3 linked regions of the Notamacropus eugenii genome follow. The protein of the gene in region 1 interacts with the protein of each later gene in a pairwise test. Links are inferred from orthologs where the notes say so. Each region holds a gene or a part of one and is shown on either strand. Other genes may lie near its edges.

The links.
Region 2: the proteins of PRKG1 (region 1) and FAM124A interact in binary tests that used the Homo sapiens proteins (3 or more experiments, as listed by UniProt). The two-hybrid records come from large-scale screens. The link is inferred for Notamacropus eugenii from reciprocal best matches to the Homo sapiens genes PRKG1 and FAM124A.
Region 3: the proteins of PRKG1 (region 1) and ZNF646 interact in binary tests that used the Homo sapiens proteins (3 or more experiments, as listed by UniProt). The two-hybrid records come from large-scale screens. The link is inferred for Notamacropus eugenii from reciprocal best matches to the Homo sapiens genes PRKG1 and ZNF646.

The regions. Positions count from the first base shown.
Region 1 is NC_092872.1:278,293,724-278,301,379, forward strand, and holds the start of PRKG1 (cGMP-dependent protein kinase 1), read right to left. Parts: upstream 3,013-7,656; 5' UTR 2,909-3,012; coding exon 2,565-2,908; intron 1-2,564. UniProt on the Homo sapiens protein: Serine/threonine protein kinase that acts as a key mediator of the nitric oxide (NO)/cGMP signaling pathway. GMP binding activates PRKG1, which phosphorylates serines and threonines on many cellular proteins.
Region 2 is NC_092876.1:104,753,535-104,761,470, forward strand, and holds the start of FAM124A (protein FAM124A), read right to left. Parts: upstream 3,054-7,936; 5' UTR 2,814-3,053; coding exon 2,743-2,813; intron 1-2,742.
Region 3 is NC_092874.1:377,654,255-377,661,782, forward strand, and holds the start of ZNF646 (zinc finger protein 646), read right to left. Parts: upstream 3,054-7,528; 5' UTR 2,788-3,053; intron 2,619-2,787; exon of another isoform or gene 2,462-2,618; intron 1,843-2,461; exon of another isoform or gene 1,779-1,842; intron 1,213-1,778; 5' UTR 1,126-1,212; coding exon 1-1,125. UniProt on the Homo sapiens protein: May be involved in transcriptional regulation.

The DNA of each region.
Region 1 (7,656 bases):
ATACTCCCTGACCGACTATTTCACTACTTATCATTTGAATTGATCACTGGGCTTCTGAAAACAACTGCCATTTCCCCCTTCCTAATACAAAATCACAGTTCCCTCTGCATCAGCCTCAAGTCCTACAGAAGCTCTGGCCTCAGGCTGCCCTCACTCCACAATCAGCTCAGGAAAATCATACCCATGGACTTCTTTTCCATTATGCAAACTTGAACCAGAAGGGAGATAGCCCCTGCACATCATTAGATGAAACAGGCATGCATGTCAGAGCAGAGAATTAATTTAACAGACAAAGTTAGAGAGGGTGCAGGTCACTCTGCTCTCCAAGCCAGAGACATCAGGCAAGCAATCAGGTCAGCATGGACAAACACTTAACTTAGCCATACTCTCCTCACCCCCTCACAGATGTGTGTTTTTCCTTAAGCTGGGACAAGAAGAGCAGACTGAGGTTGGCTGTCGAGGACCGAATATTGCAATCCTTAATTACATGAGCAACAAAGGCATCAGTGGCATTGGACATAAAGGAGGATATTCCAAGCTACCAAATCAGTAAAGGCTGGGAAAAGCAAACACCCAGTCCTTCCCCTTAAATTAACCTGTTGTATCATGTGTAATGAAAGGAATACGGAGTATTATGTAACACATCACCTACCGAGTACTCCATGGCTAGGAATAGGATGAGGGCAGCACCATGTAGTGGCTAGAAAACCAAAGCCCTAGATCTGAGTTCCACTCTGTGCCTCATTACATGAAACAGGCATGCAAGTCAGGGCAGAGAATCAAAGTAGCAAAGAATGCTAAAGAGGGTTTAGGTGCCCCCAACTGCCAAGCCTGAGCTGTCAGGCAAACAAACTGTCAGAATGGACAAAAACTTAGCTACACCATCCTCGCCCAACGCATTTAATTGGGTGGCTCTAGGCAAGACACTTAATCTCTCTGCCTCCAGCAATTCAACTCTCTATCTCTTTAAATTACAGGTGAATTGCAAACCTTCTTTGGTAGAAGGAGTTGGCACACTGGGAATTCTTTACATGAAAGAAACAAAGCCAAAATAGAGCATGGCAATATCCTGCCTTCTCCAGTCATGTCACATGTTTACTGAAGTACTGTATCCTTCCTTGGCCAGTTGTTTCTTATTGTATATATGCTATATAATTGTGGGATTTGGTTTCCTGATTTCAACTGAATCTATCCCTCTGATCCTCTCCCTCCCCTTCCTCTATCTCTCTCTGTCTCTTTGTCTGTCTCTCTGTCTGTCTCTCTCTGTCTCTCTGTCTCTGTCTCTGTCTGTCTGTCTGTCTCTGTGTCTCTCTCTCTCTCTCTCTCTCTCTCTCTCTCTCTCTCTCTCTCTCTCTCTCTCTCTCTCTCTCTCTCTCTCTCTCTCTCTTTCCCTCTCTCTCTTTCCCTCCCTCCACATTACCTCATGCCACTGAGATCAGGGCTAGTCATCCAGGGCTAAAACATGCCAGCACAAGACAGATCAAAGTAGTGAAAACGGTCACAGGAAGACCAACAACCAGTCCATTTACAACTGTGATCAGATCTGACACACTAATGTGCGTTTCACACTGGAAGTAATGCAATCGTTGTAGGAAAGCAACTATGCCACGGGAACTAAGCACAGTTCTCCCTTAGAAGGAACAATTACAATTAGCAGCCTGCCTCTGTCTTACTTGAAGCAAGTTAAATTATATCAGGAAATCGAACCCTTTAAAAAATATGAACTACCTAGTAGATAAATGTATTCCTTAATTATGATAGAAAACATGGATCCAGATAGTTTCGGCATGAATCAGTCAACAATGGAGGGATATTCGAGACAAGTACAGAGGCTCACGTAGTGAACCAGAGAGGGTCTAGTTCATCTTGGCCATTTCAGGTTTTTCGGCTGGACACTTCTGGCTGCTTGGAGACTTGGATAACTGAGGAGGAAAGTTCACTCTTTTCTTCCTCTTTGCACAGACATACATACGCACACATATACACACATCTGTCCATTCTGAAACCTCAATTCCAAGGGATTTCTCTCGGCTTTCTCCGAATGAGATCTCTCTGTCCCTCTCCTTACGCTTATTTCGGTCTCCTTATCCATTTCGCCCACTTTGACCCTCACTCTGTCTTATGTTTCTCTGTCTCTCTATGTGTTGGTCCCTAGTACTCTCTCCCTCTCTCTTTCCCTCTCGACACTGTCATTGCCAGATATAAAGGCAGAGGCAGATAGGAAGGCAACCGATGAGTGAGGGAGGGAAGAAAGGAGGGAGGGAAGGACTGGAGATGTGCAACAGACTGAGACATTCAGAAGTGTCGGTGGGTCCCTCTTTAGGGAGATGCGAAGGAGAGAGAGAAGCAGCCGTGAGAACCCCTATCGCGAAGGCGGCCAGGCGTGCAGGCAGCTCGCCCCTAGGCAAGGCAGACGAGCCCCGAGCGTCCAGCCAGGCAGCTCCCTGCGGGGCAGCGCACTGCTTAGCCCCGCGAACGCCTGACCTCCCTCCCAGCCCCCCGGGGACAGCGCCCAAGCCTCCCCCCACCCCCCCAACTCCCCCGGTCGGGCCCAGCCCGCTTACTGGGGGCTCTTGGGGTAGAAGGGCAGCGTCACGTGGCTGAGGTCCTGCAAGTCGAAGGCAGTGGGCTCGGCTGAAATAGCCTGGCGCTTGGTGCGGGGCTCGCCTCCGCTGCTCCCCGCGCCGCCGCCGGGCTGCGCCGCCTGCTGTGCCTGCGCCGCCTGCTGCGCCTGCTGCGTGGCGGGCCGGATCACCGAGCGGTACTTGTCCAGCTCGTTCTGCAGCTTCTGGATGAGCTCGTCCTTCTGGTCGAGCTCCAGCTCCAGCTCGTCTATGAGCGCATCGCGCTGCCTTAGCTCCTCGATCTTCTCCTGGAGCGCGTACTGCAGGTCGCGCAGCGTGCCCATGCTTGCTGGTCCTTGGGGCTGGCCCCGGGCCCCCGCTGGCTCGGCGGCGCGGTGCCCCCCGCAACTTTGGGCAAAGTCCCCGCCGCCGCCGCTGCCGCGGGCGCTCCTGCTCCCCCCGGTGCCCCCGGCCCCCGGCCCCAGCCCGGGCACGGGCAGCGGCACGGGCAGTGGCACGGGCACAGGCGGCAGCAGCAGCGGCGGCGGCGGGCAGCGGGCGGCGAGTAGCCGCTCACTCCCGACGGGCGGCCTGAGCTGCCCCCTCGGCGGCCGCCGCTGAGCCTCTGCTGCTCCTTCGGCTGCCTCTACGGCTGCCCCGGCCCCAGCCCCGGCCCCGGCCCCCGCGCCCGCCGCCGCTCCCGCTCCCGCTCCCGCCGCCGCCGCTGCTGCCTCCCCACTCCCGAGCTCAGCCCGGCGGGGCCACGGAGCATGCCCAGTCGGACGGCCGCCCAGCGCCCTGGAGACTTTCGCTGTGCGGATTCCGCTTCTCGGGGCGGGGGAGACGAGCCCTGGAGCCCTGGCGAGGGGGGCGGAGCTGAGCGCTAGCTTGTGCCCCACCAGAGGTGGGAAAGGACTGGGAAAATGAGGGGAGGGCGAGGGCACAGGGAGGGAAGCAGGGTACTGGACTTGGTCGAGGTCCTGTGGCTGGCAGGCAGAGAGGGAGCCAGGGAGGGAGGAAACAGAGTGAGCTCCAGCCAGCGGAGGAGGAGAGCAGATAAGTGCCTCCTTGGCCCCCGGGGAGGGAGTTTTAGGCGGAGCTAGCCAGACAGCATTTATGGGGTACGCGGCGTGGGTGGGGTGGCACACTCCAGGCGGGGAGAAGTGAGCCCCTGGAGGAGTTGCGCCCGTCCTGGGGAAATGAAATGAGGCGAGCGAACAACCTGCTGTTCACGGTTGACTTTGTCCAGCTCCAAAGCTGGAGACGCCGGAGATGTTGAGGAATGTTAGCCGAGGCTGGGATCCGCAAAGGAGAGCGGCTCCCTGCCCGCCGGTATCCAGCCCAGTGTGCCAGGGCTGTGCGCCTTCACACACACACACACACACACACACACACACACACACACACACACACATGCGCACACTTACACACACACCTCACCTGCCAGCCCTATGTTCCCATCTGCAGGTGAATCACACCTAAAGAGAAAACTTGCAAGAGATTGAGGGAGCGATGCAAAAGCAGAGTAGATGCCGATGGATGGAGCAAAGCCTTCGTCCGTACTCTTCCTCCCCCTCTCCCCGTTTTATCCCCTTTCCAGAACTGTCTACGACTCACTCCCTGCCTGTCGTGCTACCTACTTTGAGCCGCCTCCAAACTGAAATAGAAAGAGATGGAGATGCCTCGGGCAGCCTAGGAGGAATACATTTGGGGCTTGACGCTTGGCGAAGCGGCTGTTTCTCCCTTCTGACTCCTGCCATACTCAAGGCCCTCCTTCCTGCCCATCAGAGGGTCTCTTAAGATCCTTTTACTCCCTCCAATTGTCATGGGGTAGAGGGAGATCACTGCTGAGGTACAAAAAAAAGTGTATTTTAAAAATAAGCCCTACCCTTCCCAACATCATATCTCCTCCCGCACTCTCCCTCTCCGAAAAAAACTAAGTTTCCGGGACCGTGATACAAATCTGCTTTCATAAGAGACCCAGCAATGAGCCCAGAGACAGGGACAGGGAGGGAGTGGGGGACGGGTGAGGAAGAGGAGACACAGAAACCGAGAGACTGAAGACAGAGACTTAAAAGAAGAGAGGAGACCCTGCAGTAAAATGAATTTCACAACCTTTCGCCCTGCCCCTACTTCAGCTCTGGAAGAATAATAAAAAGTCCCATTTTAGCTTTTTCCCTGGGGGTTCTGTTTGGAGATGCTGTATTTAGCATGATTTTTCTGCCAAACATTTGATCTCCGCCCCACCCCTCACCCCTCACTCTGTCTGCTGGATGGTCCTTTGTGTACAGAGGACTCCACCGATGGGCAGTATCCAAACAACTCTCAATATTCCCCAACTCACAAAGGTTCTGAGCATATTTACCAGACCTGCGCCCCACAGTTCATGGGACAGCCAATTTTATAGCCATAAATAGTGGATTTGGCCACTTGCTTGAGCCTTTCCTGTAAGACTCTGAAAACAAAACAATCCTCCCCAAACATAAAGCTTTTGAAGGTGGCTGGAAATCTGGTGTCCTTTAGTGCGTGGTATGGCAGATCATGCCATATATCTGAAACCCTATCTGGCAGCCTTCTCCAGTTTGGCTTTTTTCTAATTGACTAAATCAGGGCTTTCTTTCCAGAAGACTGGCTGCCAAATGGGGGCTGTCCAAGGCATGTGGCCCCCAGGTCAGCTGCAAGGAGAAATGCTGGATTGCAAGTTACATTGAAGAATGGGATTCCAATCTGCTCTGGCCACTGCCAGTGTGATCTCACTTCTCTACGATTCATTTTCTCCTCTAGAAAATGAGGAGGCTCGACTAAAGGCTACTTACACATGGAGAATCAAGGAGGGTGAACATCTTTTTGGAATAATTCAGGATATCTTCCTCCCCAAAGACCTTTCACCAACTATTTGGATTATATGGGGGGTTGGGGGGAGGACAGCTCCCTAAAATGCACTAAGACTTTTGGGTCACTGCTTTTAGAGCTGAAAGGAACAATACAGGTTCACTACTCCAACCTCCCATTTTACAGAGGAACAAACTGAGGCTAAGAGAGATGAAGTGACTTGCACAAACTCCTACAGTAAATGGCAGAGCCAGAATTCAAACCCACACCCTTTAAATTCAGTCAGAAATAAGTTTTGTTCTTGGATTATCCAATTTGCCTCAGTTACACACACACACACACACACACACACACACAAACACAAACACTTTGTGTAGTTACAACCACAGGGTGCATTTGGACCATATTTTAACATAGGAAAAATGCTACAAGCCTGGAAATGATCTTTCTGGAAGCCAGTGCCTTGTAAATGTTTGTTCAGCAAATGGATAACAATAGACTGTATGGTATATGCATGCAGGGATGTCTAGGTGGGAACTTTCTCAACCAAGGCTGCTTACAAACCATTTATGACTCATTAGAAACATGCGTGGCGTTTGTCTGATGCTTACAAGTTGAACAAGTTTAACTTCTCCAGTTTTGATTTAAAGAAGAAATCCCAGAAGAAAATGTGACATTATCACTTCACCACATTAAGAAGAGTACCAAGGATAGAGATCTATCTGTTATCTTGGGGTGGGAGGAGTGAGGGATGTGCTCCTTAAAACACTATATTGTTTTTATCTATTCTTTTATATGCACTTCTGCTATCCAGAATTGTATGTTTTGACTCAGTTTCCTTTGGAATCTTTTAAAGTGAATAGTTGTTTTTATTTTGTGTGACTGTCACAGTATGAGCTCTCTGAAAGTCTTTTTTGGTCTCAAACTATAATTTGCTTCTTCCCACACACATACTTTAACATCAAAACACCCTGCAACGTGACAGATCTGTTAAGTTAGAGTTTAGAGCATTTGGGGGGACACTGAACAGTTCAGTGACTTTTCCAGAGTCAGGTATCTAGGATATGTCAGAGACAGGTCTTCCAGTATTCCTTATTCCATGACTGCATCTCTACCCATTAGACTACTCTGCCTATTCTCAGCTAACAAAAATTATTAGATGCCAGTTTGAGCTTCCATGTTGTTGTTGTTGCTGTTTTTGCCAAGACTAGCAAATATTTTTATACACAGGCATATTCTCTGGAAAACCATTTCTATAGGTCACAGTAGTGACTCCAGTTTTCCTATGCAGTTTCTAGGGAATCTATGTGATTAACAGTCATACAACCAATCACTCCCCCCACACACCTACCAAAAAAAAAAACAGTACAGGTACTTGTAATTCAAAAGGCATACCTATTGGAGCAAGCGTATAATATAGCTAAAAGAGTGGGACACCAAGGAGACCACTGTTCAAGTCCCAACTCTGACTTGCTGTGTAAACCTGAGTGAATTACTTCACCTGAATTTCAGTGTCCTACTCTAGTAAATGGAGAAAATGAAGCTTAGGAAAGGACACAGGTTTTAAGGGAGAAGAAAACCACAAATCCCAGCTTTGTCCCCTGACTACCTATGACCCTGAGCAATCATCACCAAGCATTTATCAAGTACTGATCATATTCCAGGTGCTAAGAGAGTAGCTGTGGATATGAAGACACACAAAGTGAAATAAACCCTGCAAGTTGTTTCTCCCTCTTTAGGCCTCAGTTTCCACATTTGTAAATTGATGAGGTTGTATTATTTGATCTCTCAAGTCTCTTCCAGATGGATTCTATCTCAAAAGAGTTTAACCAAAAACATTCTGTAAACTTGAAATTGCTATGTAAATGAGAGTTGATTGGTCGGTTATCACAGAGCTAGAATGGACGGTCCTTTGATGTTCAAATGCTCCTCTCCAGAGCAAAGAGATGGCAGAGTTCACACCTCAACTGCCACTGCTTTTCTTTTTACATTTTACATGAGGTAAAAATTTTTGAACATCCAAATTAAAGTTTCCCCATCTGTAAAATGGGGTATTGGACTGCATGAACTCAAAGTCCCTGTCAGCTCTCAAATTCAAGGACTCTGTGCTGGGATCTAATTAATTTTCACTACCCCATTCACAGAGGTAATGTTTGACATTTATATCAGGACACACATCAACCAACAAGTATTTATTAAGCACCTACTATGTGTCAAGGTGGCTTAGTGGATAAAGAACTGGTAGAGCCCCAGTTCTACC
Region 2 (7,936 bases), on another chromosome or scaffold:
CCATGTCATCAGGACGGAGTCATGTCTCATTAAAAAGCAGAAGATGGAACGAGTGAGAAAGAAAAAGATTACAAATGAAAGAGATCAAGGATCTTATATTTAGTGGGAGAGCAACACAGATAGTGGAGGGAGGTCAAAGCATGGAACTATGGTCTGAGAAGTCACAAAAACATTGTATGGAATGATAGGGCAGTCTGTTCCCAGAGGTAATGGCAGTATTGATTATAATTCAAGGATAGGTTCTAACACATGAATTGTATGAACATGGGCAAATCACACTCTTTAAAACTATATTATAGATGGGCTACTGATTCATTGGAGGAGGAAGTTTTGAAACCAGAGGGAATGAAGTCACAGGCCTCCATGAAACTATGTAAGAAAATTGCTGTGGAAGCTTTCAGGAGGTGAATCCCCCTAAACTCAACCCAAAAGTTAACAAAATTTGTTTCTTGACTAAGACCCCAGAAAACAGACTTGAATTCTGAAGAAGCCAATAATTATTGGAGAGAAGTATAAAGGGTAGATCTGGCCAAAGGAATTTTGCTTTGTGACAAAGAACTGAAAAAAAAAATACAGAAACTAGAAATAGTGCTTTTGGTGACAAAACTAAGACTGAAATACCAATACTCGTTTAAAAGAGGAGAAAATAAAGTCTATGTGTCAAAGATCAGGCAACCTAATAAATATACCTAATGATATCTTACTTAGACATAAGAAGATATAAAAAGATGTTATCTTTTTCACTTCTCTCTTCAAAGTTTAAGAATGATACTGAAAACAAAAATTCTTCACCTAAGCCTGCCCCATGGCAGTCACAGTTTTAGTACCACAGTCTCTAAAGAGCTCCAATAAACCACTAGCCCATTCATGCCCAATGGGCATTAACAGCCCATTGCTGGCAGACATAAGCAGATGTCCTGCTGACTGTCTAAGTCTAGAAGATAATGTCACCATCTGGGTCAGCGCCTTCCATCAGCCTAGCTAAGCTCCCTTTTTGTCTGTTTTAAGTAGAAATTATAATTGGAAGCGAATTGAAATGTCAGTTTGAAAGAACTAAGAATAGGATGCTTATTATGGTTTCTTGGATTCACATTCCAGGTCAAAAACCCTAAAATAAAAGTTGATAAACTTCACAAATTTACAAAAATAACAAAAGAGCTTAAAATTAGAAATTACATTGTCTCTTTTGATTACATTTAGTTTTTGAAACCAAAGTTGAACACTAACAGGGAAGTCCCCAGCACAGTCAACACCAGGAGGGTTAAATTTCTCAGTTTGGGATGGTAAGTACAAGAAAAGCGCGCAGCCTCAGGCTAGTTCAACTCCAGTGCTAAATACTCCAGTCATTCTAAGACTTGGACTCTCCAGGAACTCCCCCAGTTCCTGCAGTTCAGCCAAACCCTAGAGTGAGTTCTTATGGCTCCAGGCTCATTCTCTAGTTTGGACATAATGAGATTCATAAGCAGATCTCCGTCCCTCAAGCCTCCTCCAGCAGAGATGCCACCCTTTCCCCTCCGGGTCATCCCAGGTCGATAGCTGTATCCTGAGGACTGGGCAGGGGAGGCACTGGGAAGTCCAGTTCGAGATAGGAGCTGGGTAGGGAGCCCTGGCAATAGCATTCAGCCTTTTGTCCTACGGGCAGGAAAACAGTGGTGATTAGGAAAAGAGTAATTATTCTTCCACTGATATTTTGAGCTAATTATTTTATTTTGCTGACTGATAGGAAATGATATGTCATTTAAATAATCAAAAGTGTATTGTACTAGGTTTGTCCACCTCCCCTTTATCTCAAAAGTTGACAGTCTGTGACTCAGGAAGGGAGGGAGACACTCTAATGATTCAACTGAGGTGGGGAGGACTTGGGGGAGGGGATGGCCAGGAAGTCTGCACTAAAGCCCCTCTCTAAAGCCAGACAAAGACAAAAAATACCCTGATTTGTCGTATCTAACGTATGCATACATAGAACTATACACATCCACATCCACATGTATGTATATATATATATATACGCACAAACATAAATGTGTGTGTGTGTGTGTGTGTGTGTGTGTGTGTGTGTGTGTGTGTGTGTAAGGGGCAGATGAGAGCAGTCTTTTCTAACCCTAACCCACACATTCCAGACAAAATTTAGGAGTTTGGGCAAGAAGAAAGCCAGTCCAGGGCAGCAACAAGTGCAGCGGCATCTCCTTCCCCTCTTAATAGGAGGTTCAGAGGCAGGGGACAGAGGGTGGGGGAGGGGGCGGTAAAAGAGCTCTCTTTGCCCTCGAGACCCACTCCTAGACTCTCTCCCCAACACAAGTGGGCTCACCTATCCCCAGGCCCCGACAGCAGGTCCCAGCCTCCCCTCCGCATCAGCTTGGGCACTGGGGCCCTCCTTCCCTAGTAACTGTCACCGACCCCCCTAAAACTTCTGCTTCTCGAGAAAGACTGGTCTTTCCCCATGGAGGTGCTGGCTTGATCTACAGCCCAGCCCGAGAGCAAGGTAACCCCCACATGTAAACTCTCCCTACTCCACTCTAGCTCGCCCCTCACTCCCATGGTGGAGTAGAGCGGTCCAAGGATGGATGGGGGACCCCGCCGTCCCCGGACCCGCGCCCTTCCGACGCTTGCTCCCCCGCCCCGAGCTTGGGGAAGCCCCTGCCGCCCCCCTTTTCGCATCTCCAGCTCCAGCTGAGCCTGCGCGCTCGCTCCCCGGCGCCCCAGTTGAGCTCCGAGATCCGTATCCCCCCCAGCCCTGCTCACCCGCCGGTCTCAGCTCCCGAGTCCACACAGTCATCCTCCTCCTCCTCGCCCGCGCCCGCCTTCGGGTCCATGGCAGGATCGAGTCACGACTCCTGGGTGTCCCGGGGTGGCAGCAGCAGCAGCGGTGGCATTATCCTTTCCTTCCTCCCCGCCCACTGGGTCCCGCCTGGGTGCTGTCCCCGGACAGCGCTCGCTCCCTGCTCTCCGATCGCCCCTCTCGCAGAGGCGCTCGGGCTGCGACAGCGGCCGGCGCCTTCGCCTCCTCTCTCCGCCTCCTTCTTTCTCCTCGCTAGGCTGTGCACACTGGGTGTCAGAGCGTCCCCCGCCCTCCTCCCCCTCCTCCTCCTCCTCCCCCCACCCCTTCCCATCCCCTCCCACCTCCTCTCCTGCCTCTATGGCCACGCTCCTCCCTCCCAGCTCTCTGCGAGGGTGCTTGTGTGTGTCTGGTTCGTGTGCTGCCTTCGCGGTGTACGTTTTCCCTCCTGTCCGTAGCATCCCTCAGCTCAAAGATTCTTTGTGTTAAGAGAACGAACAGGCTGTCATGCGTAGGGTGTTGGAGGTAAGAGGATCTGAGTTCAAATCCCTCCCGTTCATTTCCTCTGTGTGTAATCCTGGGCAAATTACTCTGTGCTTCAGTTTCCCTTTCTGCAAAATGAATAGGGTTGGCCTCAAATATCCATGTAGCTCTAAAGCTATGATGTGGTCCAAATGAGTGGAGTGGAAGTCAATGGCCTGTAAAGTTCCATCCAGCTCTAAATCTGTGGTGGCATGCCTTGATTTCCTTATCTGCAAAATGAAAGGATTGGACTAAATAGGGCTGCTCAATTCTCTTCTAGCTCCAAATGCTATGAAGGGGAGCAGGAAGGTGGGTTCTTCTATCAACGTCTATCAGGGAATTTACACTAAGCCCCCCAGGTCTCCCCAAATCCCAAGTTTGATATAGAGGCAGAACTTTGAAGTCAAGATAAGATGCTCCAGTGACCCGGTTTGACATCTAGGTAAGTTTTTCTTCTTTTTTTTCTTCATAGTTTGCAACACTGAATTCATTATTCCCTCTTTCAAGATCAGTCTGCTATTTATCCCACAAAACTGTTCCCCTCTCTATCTTAATTTGTCTTGATTTTTAAAAAAAAGCATTCTTTAAAACAAACAAACAGGGATCATGCTTGTCTCCAGGGTTTGTTGTATTAATGAGATCACCATTATCAGTAAATCACCTTGAACCCCAGAGAAAAAACTCTAATAAGTGGGAGGCTACTCTGAGGATAATTAGTGCAGACTCTTCAGCTGGAAAAGCCCTCCAGAGGTCAGGGTAGTACTCACCCCCAGCTGGTAAGCTCGAGTTCATTTAAATTACCCAATGATGATGTCCATAATATCATATTGTGTAAGTCCTGCAGGACTTGGATATTTCTCTAAAGACTGCCTTTATGTGCAGGTAGGAAACTTGGTTCTGCTTTTTATTTCTTACTAACACTCTGGGGAAAGCTTAAACCAAATTCTTCACTTTAAGCTGGTAAAATGGATTGGCCAAGGGACCTGATGAAGTTGAATAAGGGAATGCCTGCAAAGGACTTTGTATCCTGAAGATCGGTGCTGTTTCTGTAGCACCTGGACCCTTAGCAGAGTTTTCCCAGTCTGGAGACATTCTGTGAGTTAGCAACCACTCTAAATCATAGCTTAAAAGCAACCATCTCCCAGCCCCCACTGGATATACTTTTGCCAGTAAGCAAGTCAAAGGACACATTACTTAAAAAGAAAAACCATTTAATTAAATGGCATAATTCTCCTCCTTAGCACATCAGGGATATGTTGTCTTTACCTGTGGAAAGAATGAGTGTCAATTGCCTAAAAGATGACAGGTATTGCCACTCTAGCAAATGGTCCCTCCTTGGTGGAGAGGAATAGAACTTTTTCCTCCTTGTTTTCTCTACTTTTTGAAGGACAAAATCATCGCTAAGGTAAATCAATAAATTATTGACTTCTCTGCTTTAGGAGGAGAGAATTTGCCAGCAGATGTCCAAATAATAGAAGGTTGTCCCCCACCCCCACACCTCATCACTATTATGTCATGTGCCAGGCTTGTGATCTGTTTTCTTAATTTCTTCTCTATTTTCCCTTTCATTTCAAGTGGTCTGTAGTGTATGCAATGTCACCCTGGAGGGAGGTCTCCAATTCTGTGTTGTGTTCCTATTTCATTCTTTTTGAGTGCAGGCCTAGCCGTGGTATAGCTGGGTCGAAGGACTCCTTAGTAATTTTTTGTGTTTAATTTTGAATTGCTTCCCAGAATGGTTGTACCCATTCACAGGTCCACGAAGAGTGCATCTATGTGTCCATTTCCCCATAGGCCCTCCAACATTTATCATACTTTAGATAATTTTTGCTAATCTGATGAATATGAAGCAGAACCTCAGAACTGCTTTAATCTGCATTTCTCCAATTAGTAATGATTTGGAGCATTTTTTTTCATCATTTTGAAATGATGAAAAGAAATAGGAACAAAGGGGGCTTAGCTATGCCTCAGTTTATACTACAGAGCTGTAATTCTCAAAACTCTTTCATCCCAGTTAAAAAATAGGGAGCTCAATCAGTGTAATTGAGTAGCGACAACATACTTGCCAGTCTACGAAATTGAACATATAGTTCCTAGGGAAGAAACCCAATACAAAAAAATGCTCCAAATCAACCCAAACCAAAAATATCCCTCCTTGGCCATCACTTCCCATCATCCCACTTGGCCACTGGGCGGTTTTCCCATATACATATACACTATGTATATATATGCATACACTAAATTACACTGATTCTTGCTGTTATGAATATTTTGGTGTGTACAGGAATTTTCTTTTACTCTTTGTCCTTCTTGGGAGTTTGTGCCAAAGAATGGTCAAAGGATAGATCATGAATTTTAGAGCAAAAATTTTTAACAGAGGAGAAAAGCCTAAGAAAACAGGTTAAAAGTTGGCTTGGTAATAGTTGCAGAATTAAGGAGTAAAATTGGCTAAATTTTTTGTGGTGGGTGTTATAATGATGGTGGTTGAGTCATTTCAGTCCTGTCTGATCCTTTGTGGCCCCATTTGGGGTTTTCTTGGCAAAGGTACTGGAATGGTTTGCCATTTCCTTCTCCAGCTCATTTTCTAGATGAGGAACTGAGGTAAACAGGGTTGAGTGACTTGCCCAAGGTCACACAGCTAGTAAGTGTAAGACTCAGGAACACGAGTCTTCCTGTTTCCACACTCATTGATCTGTCCACTGTGCCACTTAACTTCCATTTCATATTTCCAGTCTTGCTACCTCAGCTGATATAAAGACTCAGCAGTAATATTGAAAGCTTTAAGTGATTCTAACATTCAATATCTATGCAACCAGCACTACTGAGAGTCAGTAAATAAACATTTATTAGGCCACTACAATATACCAGGCACGGTGCTAGACGTCTGAGGAGAGCTGAAAGAACAGTTATCTTGTTTTAGAAAAGTCTTTCTCTAGACAAATAAAGCCTTGAAAAAAAATGAGAAAAACCCAGAAAATAATTTTTCTGCCAAGCCCTAGAAGAGCCTGCCACATGGAACGTAAATATTATGACCACGACAAGAAAAATGATCAACTATTGGCAAATTTAGTTAGACAAAAGAAACCACTAGTGCTGCATGTAAGCGGGAGGGGAGCAGATGGCAGAAGGATAAATGAAGCTCAAGATAAGCTGTTGAGTTAGAAAGTCTCAGGACAATACAAATAATTCTTCTTTAATGAATGAAAACTCAGTCCCTGCTCCCAGTGCCATCCAGCCCTTACCTACACTAAGCACTTGCAGCATGTACAGAGGTGTCAGTCTAGATTCTGAAGTAGAGCACCACACTCTCAAGTTTATGCTATATAACTTCCAGGGACACAATGGAGTACCATTTGTTAAAATGCTTGGAAAAATCAAAAGTGTTTGGGGGAATGATCAGGGGAGCAATTGAGTCTTCTCAGTCTACCTAGGGAGATTATAGAATGTAAAAAGGCAGGCAACCAAGATGATGAGATATTAAGGTTTGCCCCTGCTAGGCTCTGAGTGGCCTATTTGAACCTTGTAAAGGGCAGTAGGGGACGCTGGGTGGTGGTGCAGTTGATAGAGTGCCTGGCTGGAGTTAGGAAGACTCAACTTCCTGAGTTCAAATCTGGCCTCAGACACTTACTACTAGCTGTGTGACCCCTGGACAAGTCGCTTAACCCTGTGGGCCTCAGTTTCTTCATCTGTAAAATGGGTCAGAGAAGGAAATGGCAAACCACTCCAGTATCTTTGCCAAGAAAACCCCTAGAATGAGGTCACAAAGAGGCAGACACAACTGAAACTGAAATAACAACAAACTATCTCTATGTCTATATCTATAAAGATATGGATATGTAATAAGGTTTTGCGAACTGACTGGCCACTTGAGTTTTGTACTTCAGTGAGACAGGCATTTCCTCTTTGTGCTGAGATTGATCTGCATTTTGGGGATCTCTGAGCCAGAAGGCAGATGGTGAAGTCATACACAGGGGTTTTAAAAGAGACATCCACAGTCTGCAAGAGAAAAGACTGAAAGGAAGGAATGGGGACTACAAGCGCTAAGCAGAAGCGGTAACCATGTGGGGATGATGTTTAAATGAAGCAAGATGTTAAAAAATAAAATCATGAGTGAAATAAGAGCTCTGGTGTCATACCGGATAGAGAGCTTTCTTTTAAGCCAGTCAGAAGTGGGTTCAAGTACCACTTCTGGGCAAATCACTTACCTTGTCTGTGCTCTACACAATAATACTCTAAGCTGAAGAGGAGGGGCTGACCTCCATTGGTAAAGGTAGTTTCTTCACTTGGCAATTTTCTATACCAGAGGTAGGGAACCTGCACTCTTGAGGCCACATGTGGCCCTCTAGGTCCTCAATGACCTTGTGAGGTTTGGATTCAATCAAAGAGCTGCACTTGAGGACCTAGAGGGTCACATATGGTCTTGAGGCTGCAGGTTCCCCACGCTTGTTCCATACTAATCATATCATTGAATACTACCTATCCCCTAAGAGCTCTGAAAGAAAAATTTGGAAAGACAATAAATAGCTTAGAGCTGAAGATGAAAAATTTTGCCTAATAATGGAAAATTAGAATGAAGCAAGCAGAACTCAATGACTCAGTGAGACAATGAGAAATATTACAATAAAATAATTTCTAAAAATT
Region 3 (7,528 bases), on another chromosome or scaffold:
TTCTACTCCACCCTCATTAAGCTCCCCAGCATCAAGATCTCCAGAAGTGTTGAATTCCCCAGAGGCATTAAAGTCCTTGGTACCATGAAGCTGATTTTTATCACAACCACTTTCTCCAGGGCCATTGGCAGATGGCTCTCCTTTTTCTTCCCATGATAGTTCCTTCCCTTCTCCCTCATGGGCTTGTTGGTGTCCCAACAATTCACTCGGCAGTCGGAAAGCCCGGGGGCATCGAGGACACTGGTAAGGCCTATACTGAGCATGTAACCTAGAATGATTCTTTAGGGCCATAAGGTTGGAAAATTCCTTGAAACATACAGCACAGGGGTAAATGCCTAAAGCATGGCTCTGACGGTGGTTGGTTAAACTCCCTGCATGTTTATAGGCTTTGCCACATTGTCCACACTTATATCGACGTTCATCCTCAGTAGGAGGTGACTGAGGTGGTCTCTCATTCCCTGTGAAATCCACCATGGATTCAGCTAAGTACTGCTCTAAATTGCTGAGAAGGCTATTGGCTGGAGCAGGAAGAGCAGGGGCCTCTGTGGGACCTGATGTATTTCCCCATCCCTCTATACTCTCCTTAGAATCTGTCCTGTTCTCCCAGCCATCTTTGTGTCCAGGTGGCTTCTCCCAGGTACTAGCGGCCTCTGCAGGATCAGGCCCAGCCTCCCATACATGTGTACTTTGTCCATGGCTCGTCTGGTTGTTCCAGTTTTCCCCAGGACCAGGCGTACCCCCCCAAATGTCAGTGGCAGTCATTTGACCCTGGCTATACGATGTGGGCTCTTTGTGGCGGGGGGGCCTGTGCCTCCTGCGGCCCTCAGGGGCATGAGTCCTCAGGTGACTCTTGAGGGCCATAGGATTGGAGAAGTCCTTGTTGCATGTGGTACAAGGAAAGCGGCCAATCTCATGGGTCCGTCGGTGATTGACCAGACTACCTGCATGACGATAACCCCGCCCACACTGTGCACACCGGTATGGCCGAGGGATCCCATCAGCCTCATCACCATTCCTGTTTGGAGGAGAGTGATGGAGCAGCTCACGGTGACGTGCTAGTTCTGGGAGGCTGGGGAAATGACGCTGACAATCAGGGCAGCTGATCAAGGCAGGGGTATCCTCCATGAGGCAGCAAGGTAAACTGCAGAGTGCTCAGGAAACACAGGCAGGTGATAATACCATCTTCTTGCTCTGGAGAAAGCAGCAAAAAGACTAGAATATAAAAAAGGAAATATTAAGAAAGGAATTGAGAATGTAACTCACTGCTTAAATGAGCTTGTCCATTAGGTAGTATGTGAAAAAGTACTTCAGGTCCTGCATTCCATCTGATCAAATCAAAGTCCTATTTCCATCTGAGCAAATGGAACCCATCATCTCAATTTTCCCCAGAGGAAAACAGAGATGGGGCAAGAACCTGAGATACTGCCTTAAAACCAAATGTTTCCCTGGATCAAAGGCAGAAATTTCTGTTACTTTTGATCTCTTCTAAACTTAAAAGTTCAGTACTGAGACCTCTTAGCTATAGTTGGCATCACAACCCAAAAAACCCTTTCCTTTTTTCTTTAATATCCTCCCCAAACTGAATCCAGTTGAACTTGGTGCCCCTCTCCCCACCCTCTTATAGATCTAAAATGGGAAATCATCTTTCTCCGGACACAATGAACTGGTTTTTACCTCTCTCAAGTTTTCTCTCTCTAAAGTCTTTGGTTAAGAATAAAGCTCACTTTTTACCACCCAAGCTAAAATCATGACTTTAGATGTAGTCACACTAATAATACCTTACATGGGCTGCTGGGGATCCAAGTCAGAGCCTCTCTCTATCACTATACTCCAGTTGAGAATCTGTTAGGTAAAAAAAAAATCAGGACTCACTGTTCAGGTAAAGACTTGCCTCTTTAAGCTACCTATACTCGCCACTTTCCTCTTAACCATTTTACTACTCCAGCCTCATATTTTACTAACTTCATATTTTATCTACCCATTCCTATCACCTCCCCTCCTTTCTTCTTTTATTCTTAATCCTTTGCTAATCATGCACTCCCACCTAGTTTCCCACCTAATAAACACTTTATAGGTATTTTTTTAAAAAGATTTTGAGTTCACTTATCCTTTTTCATATTATCCTCACAATAACTCTGTAAAGTAGGGAGTACAAATTTTATCATTCCCTCCTTTATTATAGACAGTAAGCAAGCCCCAGAAAGATGACTTGGCTAAGGACGAACAGTTGATTAAGTGGCAAAGTTAGAGAGTCTTGAATCTCCTGATTCTTAGTCTCATTCTCCTTTCACTATAACCAGGTAGTTCCCAACTTCCCTTCTGCCTCCTGTTCTTATCTCCCTATATTTTTTCCCCTCTTCCTCAGTCAATCTATTACTTTCCCCCCTCTAGACCTCTTTCCCACTCTTGGCCTTCACCATATACTTCACAAGTACACGCACATATACACAAGTACACACACCTCTGATTTCAGCCCTGTCTCTGCTTCAAAAGGCCCTTTCTTCTGGCTGCCCCAAGTGGACCCCACAGTCCTGTTCTTCTCTTAGATCAATCTCAACCGCAGATCTCGAGGAGACAACTTGAATGGAGACATCAGGGTTCCACTTTCTCTACAGGGCCTTCAGACCAGAATGGAAGGTCTTGGGTGCCCCCTCCCCCGCGGCTGCCAATAGTGACTCCTCCACCTTCCGGCCTCCCACTATCCCCAACCCCTTCTTGTGCCCCCCTTGCCCCCCACCCCCACCCAGCCCAGCCCTTCAGGCCCTCAAGTCCCCTCCCCTCCCTCACCTCGCCTGGCCTCTCTGGGGGCGGGGAGAGGACGCTGGTCCCTTTCTGAGCTCCCAGCCTCCAGCTCGCCACTTGACTGGGAGGGGCCCAAAGTCCTTCGTTTCCCTAGGGACTGAGAGTTAAATTGGGGGTGGGGGTGGGGAGGGAGGTCGGAGGATGTGGAGGACGACAACCAGGTTGCGTTCGTATAGGGCAACGGTCGGACGGGACTAGGGGGGCTGGGGGGGTCCGAGTCTCACGGAGGCTGATGGGCCGTTCGCGCGTGCGCAAAATGAAGCCCACTACTCCTCCTCCTCCCCCAGAATCCCCCCCTCAACCGCCGAAGAACTCTGCGAGGTAGGCAGGGGATGGGGGAGGGGGAGGAGGAGAGTAGTCAGTCGCCCGATGCCCACTCAAGTCCCCCCCCCAGGAGGGGGGGGAAGGGTCTCTCACCCACGCGCAAGCGCGCTCGGGCCAGGAAGCCAAGGAAGGGGAGGAAGGGAAAGTGGGGAGGGAAAAGGGAAGGGGAAGGAGGGGGAAAGGAAAGGGAGCTCAGCTGGCACGAGCCCGAGGTCTCCCCCGGCTCCGCGGACACTTCCTATTGTTACTAGGAAACAGGAAGTGTTCGCTTCGCAAAGGCTTCCCAACTAACCTCCGCCAAACCCGCCCCGGTAGCACTTTCCCTTCTTTTCGGCCTGCCCAATGAGACCTCTCCGTTTCTGATGTCAGGGAACGGTATCCAAGGCACAATACTAGCCCCGCCCACATCGCTAGGCATACTTCCGTTTGTCCAATGACTGTTAAACGGCACATCCGGTAGGGTACAGCTAAAAGAGTTCCCGCCATACATTTTTCTAAGAACGGCAAATGATTGCCCCTGTTACACGCTCCAGGTCAGGTGGATCCTTAGACAAATGGCTCTCTCTACTAATAGCTGGTGACACTTCTTATAGGGTCCCCCCACCTTGGTTAGTGATCTTCCTCTTCCGGTGACGTTACCTTCTAAGTTACATGACAGAAGTAGTCACCGGAAGTGTGGCGTGCTTCAAGTCCTTGTGCCTCGCCTAAATCTTTCCCCACCCAATGACGGCTGTGGGGATCCGCTTGGTCCTCGACTTCACTTCCGAGGGTTTTACCCGCAAACGAACACCCCCGATACTGCTTCCGAACCCTCTCTGATTTCATTTCCGTTGGTGCCCGCCTACTCTGAGTCAAATACGTTTTCTCCACTCTTTCTCTCTTTGGGGCTCCGCCTAAACCCTTCCCCCTCCCTCTTAGCGGGAGAATACCTCCACTTCCGGTACCTTGCTCTCCTCCCACCTCCCCCGCTGGGTCCTAGCGCCTGCTCTATTTCTAGCGGGAGCCCCGGCTCTGTCCTCTGGAACTACTGCAGCCGAGAGAGCATCAGGCTCCCCCAGGTAAGAGCCATGATTGCGACCCTGGAACGCGCCCCGTGGAACTTGGGTCATGGAAGTCCCATTGTTTCGGGACGCCATAGATGGACTCAGTTTTCCCATCCGTAAAATGGGAGGGGGTATGTGTGTTTATGTAGACCAGATGCTTTTTCATGGTCCACTGAGGTCTGACATTTTGTTGAGACGGGGACGCTTCCTTGACCCTGAGCCCCGAGGCAGGTAAAACCTTTGACAGTCCGCCCCCCCCCGCCCCCTTTCATTCATTCACACACCCCTGCTGCTCTACTGTGCGGCGTCCCGGGATTACCACCGCTCCCGCCGCTGTGCCCCGGCCCAGCATGGTCCTAGAGACCGCCATTTTGCATGCCTTTGTGCGGCGCGGCACGGCACGGCTGCTCCTTTGGCTTCCGAGCCGGGTGCCGGGCCCGGGGGTGAGGCTCGCTGCATGCGGCTCTCCGCTTCGCTGCTGGACTCCGCGTGTTGGGCAGCAGGGACTGGATGTCCTCTGTCCCCGGTCCTAGTGACCGCCATTTTATAGGCCTCTCTTTTGTCCAGGTTATAACAGCCGCCAGCGTCCTCCCCCCTCCCTCCACGCCCTCCAGCCTCCTTCGGTGACTCGGCCCCCAGCACCCCTGAGGTCTCCAGCGCCCGCCCCTCCTAAACCCGCCTCGGGCGCCGCTGGGGAAGGCTCGGCCTTCTCCACGGCCGCCCCTCCCCCGGTCCTAAAGACCGCCATCTTGCTCGTCTTTGTCCCTTGGCCTCGCGGCCCTTCGCAGCACTCCCGGGGTCGCCTCCTCACGCGAACCCTAACCTCCTCCCCCCTGCTCCCGCAGACCCCTCCTTCCCGATCGCCACATCAGGCCGTAGCGTGAGCGCCGGGAGGGGAATGGGAGGCGCGGGAGCTAGAGCTGGAAGGGACCTCCGGGGCGGTCCGTCCGTCCGGTTTAGCAGACGAAGGGACAGAGGCACCGTTGACGGCCCCCCCCCCCCCCCCCCGCCCCATTTATACTGAAGAGGCCCTGCCGAAGGGACTCAGCCAAGGTCGTCAGTGACCTGGCGGCGCAGCGCCAAGGCCTGAGATCTGGATGCGAATCCCTACCCTGGGAGTGCCAAACGAGGGGAGTGGACGCCAAGGTTTCTTTGTGCCCCTTCAGCTTTACACATTAGAACAAACCCGTGGATTCTTTTATTCCTTGTCCCCCAGTGAAGCCCCCTCTGTGGAGCCCCGGCGGGGGAGGAGCGCGGCCGCCGTCCAGCCCGGGCGGGGGGTGAGGGGGGGAACCGCCCCTCCTCCGGCCCTGGGCTGCCCGGGCTTGCGCCGGTCCTCCCCCTCTCCCCCAAGGCCGCCGCCGCAGCCGGGCGCTCCCTTTTTAAACTGCCCTCGCTGCTCTCCCCGACCCCGCCTCCCGCCGCTCCGCCCGGCCCGGCCGCGGTCCTAGAGCCGGACTCGTCTGCACCTCCCCTAGGACCTGTCCCGGCCTGTCGGGGTCGGGCTTTGTGAGGAGGCTCTGGGGCTGGAGAGGGTTTTCACTTCAGCCTTCCCTGGGTCCTAGAGCCCAACCCTGGCGGGGCGGGGGGAGGGGGGGAGCTTCTCCGCGGACAGCTGGCGCTCCAGCCTGGGTAGGAAGGCGGGGCTGGGTCATCTGGGGAGGTGGGCGTCTCGTCCTGGGTTTGGTGACGCCCTCCGCCCCGCCCCGGGAGCCGCAGTCCGAGGCTGGGACCAGGAGCTGCCGAGGAATTGGGATTTCTGGCCGCTGCTCTGCCTGAAAGGGCCAGAGAGATGGTTCTTGAGAAGATTCGTTTCCACTCATCCAAAGCTCTCGCCTCGGGCTTCCCGCAGGGTCACCGGCGTCAAGGCCACCCCGGGCCTTGGGGATCCTTTAGGTCCAGGCACTAAGACAAGTCACTGTTTCTACCACTAGGCTTTGGTTCCCAGTTGAGTTCTCTGAATCTGTGATCCAGGGATTCCTCATTGGACAGGTCAGGAAATGGATGGTGGGGATGAGATAAGAAGAAACAAGCCGGGAGAGCCAGGTAGAAAGTGGCGCAGCTGGGTTCAAACCTGTATCTTCTGCTGCCCAGTCCTAGACACAGGTTCGAGGGGGTAGGGAACAGGTAAATAAGTGCTTGCCATCCTCCTTACCCCTTTGAAATAACCTCAAGACCATGGTCATACCTTCCAACCCTTGATTCTCCCCCAACATCCTTCTTTCCCATCCTCATCTTTACTGAATTCTGTTTGCCCAGTCTCATATCCTCTGTGCCGAAGAAATTGTCAGATATAATAGGAAACAAATCATCGCTATCCTTGACTAAAGGTGTGAAGTTGGTGAAGGCACCAAATCTACTTAGACCTCATTTTCCTCATCTGTAAAGTGAAAAGGTTGGACTAGATCAGGGGTGGGCAACCTGTGGCCTTCTAGATGCTTAAGTTCAGCCTTTTGACTGAATCTAGACTTTACAGAACAAATCCTTTAAAAGGTAAAATTTGTGTAAAATTCAGATTCAGTCAAAAGGCCACATTTAAGGATCTTAGAAGGCCACTGTCACCTCAAGGCTGCAGGTTTCCCATCCCTGGACTAGTTATCTTCAAAGTGCCTTGTTAGAGCTAAATGATATAGTTCTTCAATTCAGATAATGCTATATACAAAGGTAGGCAGTTGAAATACCAAAGAGCTCATTCCTTCTGTCCCAACACCCAGAGCTCCAAAGTTCTAGAGGACAAGTTTGGCACAGACTGTCATCTTGCATCTCATTTGATTTTCTCTCTCCCTTCTCTTTAACATATGTGCCTTAGTCTAAGTCATCCACTCACTCCAGCACTGCCAAAATTGTTCATGAGTGAATCATAGGATTTTAATTCTGGAAGGAAGGAGATAATTTAGTCCGAACCATCTATTTTAAAGATGAGTTAGCTGAGGCCTAGGGAAAGAGAAGATCTTGCTTTACTATGATCTCATACATGTATCAGTCAACAAATCACTGACAACCTATTTGGGCAAGGCACTATTCTTGGGGTATACAAGAGAAAAGAGAGTCCTAGCCTAGTGAGGAAGTCTAGACACACAAAGCTTAAACAATATAGTGATAACAATGCAGGTTCTTAAAGTATCTTAATGCTTAATAATCTTTTTCCTTTACAGTAATACTGTGAAAATAGTAGAAATTTATTATCCTCGTTTTTATAGGTAAGGAAACTCTGTCCAAGAGAGGTCAAGGGATTTGCCCATCATGTGGCCTTTAAATGTCTGAGCCAGGATTTGAATCCAAGATTCCTGACTCAAAGTCCAGTGACTTTTGTATTGAATAATTAGTACACATTGATAAGTGTTGTAAGAGCAGAATTT